2 linked regions of the Caenorhabditis elegans genome follow. The protein of the gene in region 1 interacts with the protein of each later gene in a pairwise test. Each region holds a gene or a part of one and is shown in the gene's direction. Other genes may lie near its edges. The genes, in order: npr-21 and T06C10.3.

The links.
Region 2: the proteins of npr-21 (region 1) and T06C10.3 interact in a two-hybrid assay, tested with the Caenorhabditis elegans proteins (one large-scale study listed by BioGRID).

Annotation. Positions count from the first base shown.
Region 1 is NC_003284.9:17,155,916-17,159,840, reverse strand, and holds the start of npr-21 (G-protein coupled receptors family 1 profile domain-containing protein), read left to right. Parts: upstream 1-1,872; 5' UTR 1,873-1,883; coding exon 1,884-1,971; intron 1,972-2,561; coding exon 2,562-2,641; intron 2,642-2,692; coding exon 2,693-2,845; intron 2,846-2,897; coding exon 2,898-3,003; intron 3,004-3,055; coding exon 3,056-3,132; intron 3,133-3,369; coding exon 3,370-3,446; intron 3,447-3,498; coding exon 3,499-3,664; intron 3,665-3,925.
Region 2 is NC_003282.8:7,868,571-7,872,495, forward strand, and holds the start of T06C10.3 (Tyrosine-protein kinase), read left to right. Parts: upstream 1-2,180; 5' UTR 2,181-2,229; intron 2,230-2,277; 5' UTR 2,278-2,294; coding exon 2,295-2,362; intron 2,363-2,411; coding exon 2,412-2,489; intron 2,490-2,537; coding exon 2,538-2,652; intron 2,653-2,789; coding exon 2,790-3,134; intron 3,135-3,303; coding exon 3,304-3,863; intron 3,864-3,909; coding exon 3,910-3,925. Other genes in the region: flp-10 (FMRF-Like Peptide), read left to right, coding at 360-432, 927-1,057.

The DNA of each region.
Region 1 (3,925 bases):
GCAATTATTGCACTCGCTCAAAGTTTCGTGCTCCCTACTTTTGCAAACCACAATTTGTTTTCAGAAATATGTCTGAGTTGTAGATGTAATAGAATTCATACTGAATTGAGCATCGGAAAAGCAAAATATATTACTCGGTATTCTTAGACAACCGGGAAGAAGAAGCCAGGTTTTGTAGGCAGACGCTCGGCAAAAACAGGAGGTGCTAATTCATTCACGTCTCCATTTTTTTTCGAAAGTTCTCATATTTTGGAGTGTGATTTTTTGAGAATTTATCATAAATCAAAAGGATAATGGCTGTTCATAGCATCTAGCCTGATTCAAAAATTTCGAAATAAATTTTTTAATCATTTGCGAAAAAAACATTTTTCCGACATTAAACATTTAGTTTAAAATTTCAAATTCACATTTAATGATTTACAAATTTCCAAGAAAACAATTCCCGTGAAAATGAACATTTTTGCGCGCGTTCTCACACGTATTAAGTGTCTAATGGTTAGTAATGACTGGCAAAATTGGGATAGAAATTCACGTCATTATTTATGCGATTTGAGCTGGAAGAAAACAATTTTTCTTTGTAGATTTTGAAATTTTTTGAATTTGTGATATTATTTTTTTTTCTTGTAATTTTCTCCCATTTGGTTTGACTTGCAAATATGTAAATTTGGAAAATGCCCTCATTAAAATTTTTTTCTTAAATTCTTAGATTTTCTTTGAGCTCAAGGATAGTATCTTTTAGTTTAAAATGTTCGCTCTGGTACTCTGAATTTTCCAAAAATGCGAACGTGTCTGAGTCCAACAACTCCCAGGTTTCGCGTTGCTCTCAACATCGCCGCGCGGAACACGGTAGTTGTCGGACCGTGTTGCATCATTACTTAGAAATTTTCTGAGCAATTGACTCCGAAAATGGATGTGTTCAAATTTGTGAAAATTGAGCATTCAACACTTTTGTTGGGTTGAGTTTGAAAATTTGAACTTGAACAGACAATTCCCTGTGATCCTTTGTAGCTAAATCTATGTTCTCAGATAACCAACAGTTGGGGGGTAAACCTGCGTGGGTGTGGTTTTATGCTAAATGCGCAGCCGACACCGATGGAAGTCCGCGATTTACAACTTGAGTACCTGTTATATTCGAAAAATAACTTTTCGATGAAGTGTGAAAGTTACTATTAATTTTACGGTGACTAACCTTTTCAAAATCCCGCTGGCATTCAACTTCAAGTTTTATCTTTAAAGCTTATTCACTTTTGACTTTTTGTACACTTCCGATCTTTGAGTTCCACCTTTCGACATCCGCCTACTTTATGTGCATATCGTCAACTCTGAACGACATCGTAACTTCTTCCTCCTATTCCCTGAAACATTTCCACCTGCTCTTCTATTCATAGAATGATGTGGTGGGTGTCAACCTAGGATACTTTGAGCTTTTTTAAAAATTCACTTGATCTATGTGTCTTCCCGACTTCCTTTTCTCTCCGAATTCTTTTCCGAATTCCCCCGAATTTCTTTACTTGGAAAGTAAAAGAGGAAATTAGACGGCAAAAAGAAGATGTGTTTCGTGAACTTTTCACAACACTTCAAGCGTTCTTCTTTGAACTGCCCGTCTCGTCTTGCAACTTTTTTCATTTCATTCTCGTTTTTTTCATCTCATTCACATCTTTAATCATTCATTGAAATCTTAGGGCCGAAAATCCAGTATCGTTTTCATTCTTCTTTTTCGTTGCTCTAGCTCCTCCCCTGCGTCACAACATTTTTCAATTATTCTCAAAGTGTTATTTCTGTTTGTGTGGTTGGAATTCGAACTTTACACTTAAAACTTTTCACCTGCTCTACGTTTTTAGAAACTGTTACAATGTTTTTTCACCAGAATATTTTCAGAACGAATGGAAAGCGACTCCCCACTTAATCATCCTGTGGTACACTTTTTGCTCTGTGTATCCTACCTTTTTGTCTTTCTGGCCACTATAATCGGTATGCCAAGGATCTTTGTTCATATTTTTAATATCTGAAAATATTTTGCAATGATTATATTAAATATTGCAGATATTAATGGTTTTTTTTCGAAGTTTTTCGATGTTCACTTTCAAAATTCATTCTAAACCTAAAGCATGCTCCGGCATACCCAGAGATCATTTTCTGCTTCACACCTTTTCTTCACAATCGAATTGTTTTTTTTTCTAATTTCTTCTAACTCAGACTCGTGAATGCGACAAAATTTCATTTGATTTTCTCATTAGGACGGTTTTCGTAGCTAGGCAAACACACAACCAAGCAAACAATGACATTCATTTTTGATTTGTTATCCAATATCAGATGACAATATATCAGAAGACAGAATCAACAGTAGGCTATAATTAGATTACATTGAAGTGAGCAATAATTGGTGAAACTAAACTGATAATCGACATTTAGGTTCAAATTATATGGTAGAAGTACGTAGTTAATAGTAAGTGGTAGAGGACAAACTATTAGAACTTGAACAATTTATTTTAAAAAAGGAAATTAAGCTATGGGCAAATTTGAACAAAATTACCATCAAGCTATAACATAAATTCTTTCAGGAAATCTTATCATTCTGCTGGTCTTCTTCTCGCAGAAACGAGTCCGAAGTGTGCCCAACTTCTTTCTGGCAAATCTGACGGTAACTCTCCTCCAAAACTCACCTCCTATTCTGAAAATAATCTATTTCTAGGTTGCCGACCTTTTTGTCGGAATCTTCTGCGTTCTCCAGAACGCTGTGAATTTTGTATTCCAAGGACATGGACGGTGGCCGTTTGGCAAAGTGTTATGTTATTCATACATCTACGTACTACACTTCATACCAAATGTGTCGGCTGGAATTCTGGTAGGCAATCATGACGTAGGGAATCTTTGAAAAGCAACATTTTGATATTCAGGTGCTGGTCTCGGTTGAAAGATTGATTGCGGTGCTCCGTCCATTGCGGGTGCGAAGAGCATTTTCACAAAAAGTGCTCATCACATCGTCAGCTGTTGTTTGGCTAAGTAAGCTGACTTAAAAAGAAATGTGGAAATGAAATGTTTTCTTAAATTTCAGCTAGCGCAGTTATGAACACCCCATATGTAGTGGCTAGCCAGTTTTTAGAGATATCAGACGGGAATGAGACATACACAGTAAGTAACTTCACCTACCTGCCTGCATACAGGTTAACCACAGCCGAGTATGAAAAAATTCAGGCTAAAAACTATTATTTAAAAAAAATTCTAAAACCGCTTGGATACAATATGGCTAAATATGCAAACTTTGCCATTGTTTTTTTTCTAAAAGAATTTTCTAAAGATCTTTTGTTAGTTGAAGTATTACCAAATTAGTTCAAGAAGTTCCTTTTCTCGAAATAAAGATTTTTCCAGATCTGCACTAGACGTCATGTGGAAATTTATGGATTCAACCTCCTGAAGCTAGTCGCCACTATCAACTTCATCGTCTGGTGCGTTCGTCAACTCTATATATATTTTGTTTTGACTTTTAAAATTTTTCAGGTACGCCGTCCCTCTAGTAATCCTTCTTTGCATCTACGCTACCATCGGCCTCGTGGTGAGCAAGGCCGCAACAATCACGAAACACTCCGCCAACAAGCTTTTGCCAAGATCAAGCTGGCGATCCGAAGCCTCAACCGGCGGTGTGTCAGTGGAGAAGAGGAGAAAGGTTTGTTTAAAGATTCAGAACATGTGTTCACAGTTTGTTTGTGCCAAGTCGAACCACTTTTTCTCAAACGTTTAGTTCTGAGAGATGACACTTAGCCATATGGTAAAACCAAAAGTTATTGAAATTTGTTGAATTATTCAAAAGTTTGGTATAGGGCAGCATTTGATATTTAGCTTGAAACTTGCTTTTTAAAAAAGTACATGTATAAATCAAAAGACTAGGCACATGTGTTTAAAACCAGTTCAAAAATTGGAACATTTA
Region 2 (3,925 bases), on another chromosome or scaffold:
GAAATGAGTAGAGAGAAGTGTTCAATTATTCCTTTTCCTTGTTAGACATTACCAGAACAATTCAATTTGCCACGTCATCAAAAGTACGTGATCAAAAAAGACCCGAAGATGATGTGATGAAGAAGGAGTGAAAGATGAAAGAAGACCACCAAGAAGCACGCTGAATTTTTGATATTATTAACATTTCTTCAGAGACTAGAGTACCTACTTTCGTTTCAACATTTTCTCATTTTCTTTCCTCTTTCCTCATTCTCATGACCTTACCATGAATTCACCCATCTCACTAATTATACGCCTAAATCTTTTCTTATTCTCGAATCATGGACACTTTTCTAGGCAATCAACTCATACAGCAAAGGATGCAACTCTCCATCGTTTTCGTCTTTTTTGTTCTCTGCTTGGCCGCTGTTTTTGCTGTTCCTATCAGCGATGGTAAGCTTTTTAACTGTATTTCTAGTATACACTCAGTTTTCGGTAAATGAGTCAAAGTAAAATCATGTAAGAATCTGAAATATTGAAAGTTGCGTTTTTTAACCATGAGAAAAATTTACTGGTTTTTTTGGGCATATGAGAATTTTCACTACGAAATTCGTTCACTTGAAAACATTTTGAGTATGCCTTCATAATATCGTTAGTTCTCCTTTACTAAATAACTTCCAATTTCATCAGATTTTTTTCGAAAAATTTTTAACAAGCTGGCTTAGTCATTATAAAAAACCGAGCTATTTTGGGTAAAATACACAGATTTGTTTGTTACAAGTTTTGCAACTGGCAAACAACTGATTTTGTTGTTTTTAGGCGATCTCACAGAATAATATTCTGTAGTTTGAGTTTTCCCAGCGTCAAAGAGAAACAAAATAAAACCGAAAACTGTCAATCAAAGTGGATTGATCAGAGTAAAAACTATCTTAATAATCCATTTCCAGCTTCCCGTGCTCGTCGTCAAGTCGCATCGGAGAAGCGTCAACCAAAGGCACGCTCTGGATACATTCGATTCGGAAAACGAAGAGTCGATCCAAATGCAGAACTTTTGTATCTCGACCAACTTCTCATTTGAATCCGGCATTCCGACATCTCTTTCATCATCTTCTTCATCATCTTCAACAAAATCCACGTCATCATGCGCCCTTTCTTTCTCTGCGTCTCGTCTAGTCTCTCATTCTCATGTTACAGTAATCCAACAATTATTGAACACTGAACAATTAATTCCTTCTTCTCAACCATCCCCACCAGTCGTCAAGTTTTCGTTTCATCAAATTTCTTGACCTGAAAAATATTCGTTTCATATTTCTAATAACGAAGATTTGATCTCGAAGCGCTTTTAACTAAAATGTCACCAAATAAATTATATTCATTTAATTTTACAATTGCTTCTCTTTTTCGTCTTTTATTTCTCTTGAATTCTTCTCCACCCATCGACCCCCGAACACATCCCAATGCTTTTTTGTTTGATTGTCGCATTCCAGTATTTTCAGTTTCAAAATACACAGCGAATAAAACGATTTGTTGTATTTTTATATTTAATATCATAAAAATTATTATGCTCAAGACTTTGAGTTCTCTATTTCAATAGAACATTTCCGAGTTCGTGAATCAGGGTATTGTGAATATGGATGAAAGAATCTGCTTCTATTATGACTTTGTGTTTATTTCTTCCCAGTTATTACATTATTACGTTATTATTAATCACTAAAATCTACTAATTGACGTTTACAACTTTAGTAGAGATCTGTTAAACATTAAAGCTCCAAGAAAACTACTCAATCAGTACAAGAACGAACTAGTCATAATTTTGGCGACCGCCGAAATTACCAACTGAATTTAATTTAAGACTTTTTTATTAAACTGCATATGAAACCCCAAACTTCGTCCTTTATATAATCAAATAAGAGAGACAAATTTTAAGATTTTTTTGTGTAGATTTGTGATTACTACAGTAATTCTTCAGGGGGTTGTGTGTACTCTAAATAAAAAAGGAGGTGGCAGTCCTGACGATTAAAGTAACATTTTTTATAAGGACATTTTGAGCCAAGTGATAAAAAACATCAGCATTTGGTTTTAAAAATCCAAAAACAAAAAAAAACGTGAACCCGAAATGAGAACGCAAAAAAACAACTTGGAAAAAACAAACATCGAAAATCTATAAAATCAATCGATTTTTGATTATTTCGAATTGTTCTCACAACTTCTTTTCCAATTAAATTTGGAAAATTATTTCTATCACAAAAGGTACGCAAGTTTCAAATTTTCAGGCTTCTTAATTCATTTGATTTTCAGAAGGAAAACATTGCAAAATGGGATCAAACGAGCTGTTTACAAGATCCGTGTACATGCAGTCATCGGTCTATTCGAATAATTCAAAGTGAGTCTAGTTTTGGGTATCAGCTGAAATTTCAATCTTTCTTTTTCAGAAGCAGTACATCTAGTTCATCTTCAAATTCCATTCCTACTCAAAGTGCTCCAGCGATGAATGCTGCTTCCTCTCCAAGGTTTGAGATTTTCAGAAAATAAATGAATTTCGATAGTTTGGTTTTTAGCAAAGAGCCAGCAAAGCAAGAAAAAGAGGATGACAAGAAGGAGGTAGAAGAGAAGAAAGAAATTGAGAAGTCGGTAGAGGCGAAGGTGGAGGGAAAAGTGAAGGCAAAGGTCGAGGTAAGAGCTTAAAGCCACTTCACAGTTAATTTGCGATGATCGTTTCCGCAATATGCACATTGTGTTCGGCTCTCGATCCATTGTGCGCACATTGCGAAGTAACTGTTGGAATTACGAATTAACTGTTTTTTTTTCAGTCCACGCAGAATACGGACAATAGTCAAGAATTGAAAGCTCCCGAAGAGAAACCAAAGAAGAAGAAGAAAAAAAAGTCTAATCTCATTGTTTCGGCTTCTGTTGAGAAACTATCAATTGTCCCTGAAAAGGAAGACTTTTCAATCTTGGAGAAAAAGCTTCGCGAGTTCAATTTCTACCACGGCTTTTTGCCTCGAGAGGATCTTCACACAACTTTGCACAATCCAGGCGATTTCCTTCTTCGAGTTTCTGAAGTTGTGGAAGGAGAGCACAAAGTCAATCGGGAAGTGATTCTATCACTCATTCCAGTGTCCACGGTATCAAAAGACGAGGAGGATAGGAAGAAGGTGAGGAGATTGATTCAGGCCTGAATGCTGCCTATATTTCCTACCTGATCTGACTGAGGGCGCCGATGTAGTACTTTATAAGAGGTAACGCGCGCAAATGACTGTAGTAGGTAGGCGTAGGCATGGAAGCGTCATCATAAAATATCGATGTACATTGCCACTATTTCAGGTCCGCAACGTTGTCATAAAACGTGTAACAAACTTATTCTTCTGTGAGATTACTCGAACCTTTGAGTCAATTTCGGATCTTGTCACTTACTACACAAAGAACCCTGGAGGATGTGCATCTGGAACATTTCAATTAAAACATCCAATTCTTCAGCAATCATGGGAATTTATGCATTCGGACGTAACAGTTGGAAAAGTTCTCGGAGAAGGAGCATTCGGAAAAGTTTGCTCTGGAACTTTGAAGCTTAAAGATGGAACGAATGTTGATGTTGCGATTAAAATGACAAAAGTGTCGGCATTCCTCAGCAAAATGAAGATCAAGGAAATGATGAATGAAGCGAGATTTATTCGAAACTTCAATCACAAAAATGTCGTTCGTTTGTATGGAGTTGCGCATCACGAACAGCCGCTCTACATTCTGCTGGAATTGGTGAAAGGTGGATCTTTGCAAGATCATATGAAGAAGGAGAAAGGAGCTGTTTCAATTGTGGAGAAAATCAAGTTTTGTTCTGGTGCAGGTAGAGGTATCGAGTATTTGCATCAAAACAATTGTATTCATCGGTTTGTTGTTTGATTCCGTATAAATTGATAAATGATTGTATTTCAGTGACATCGCTGCTCGA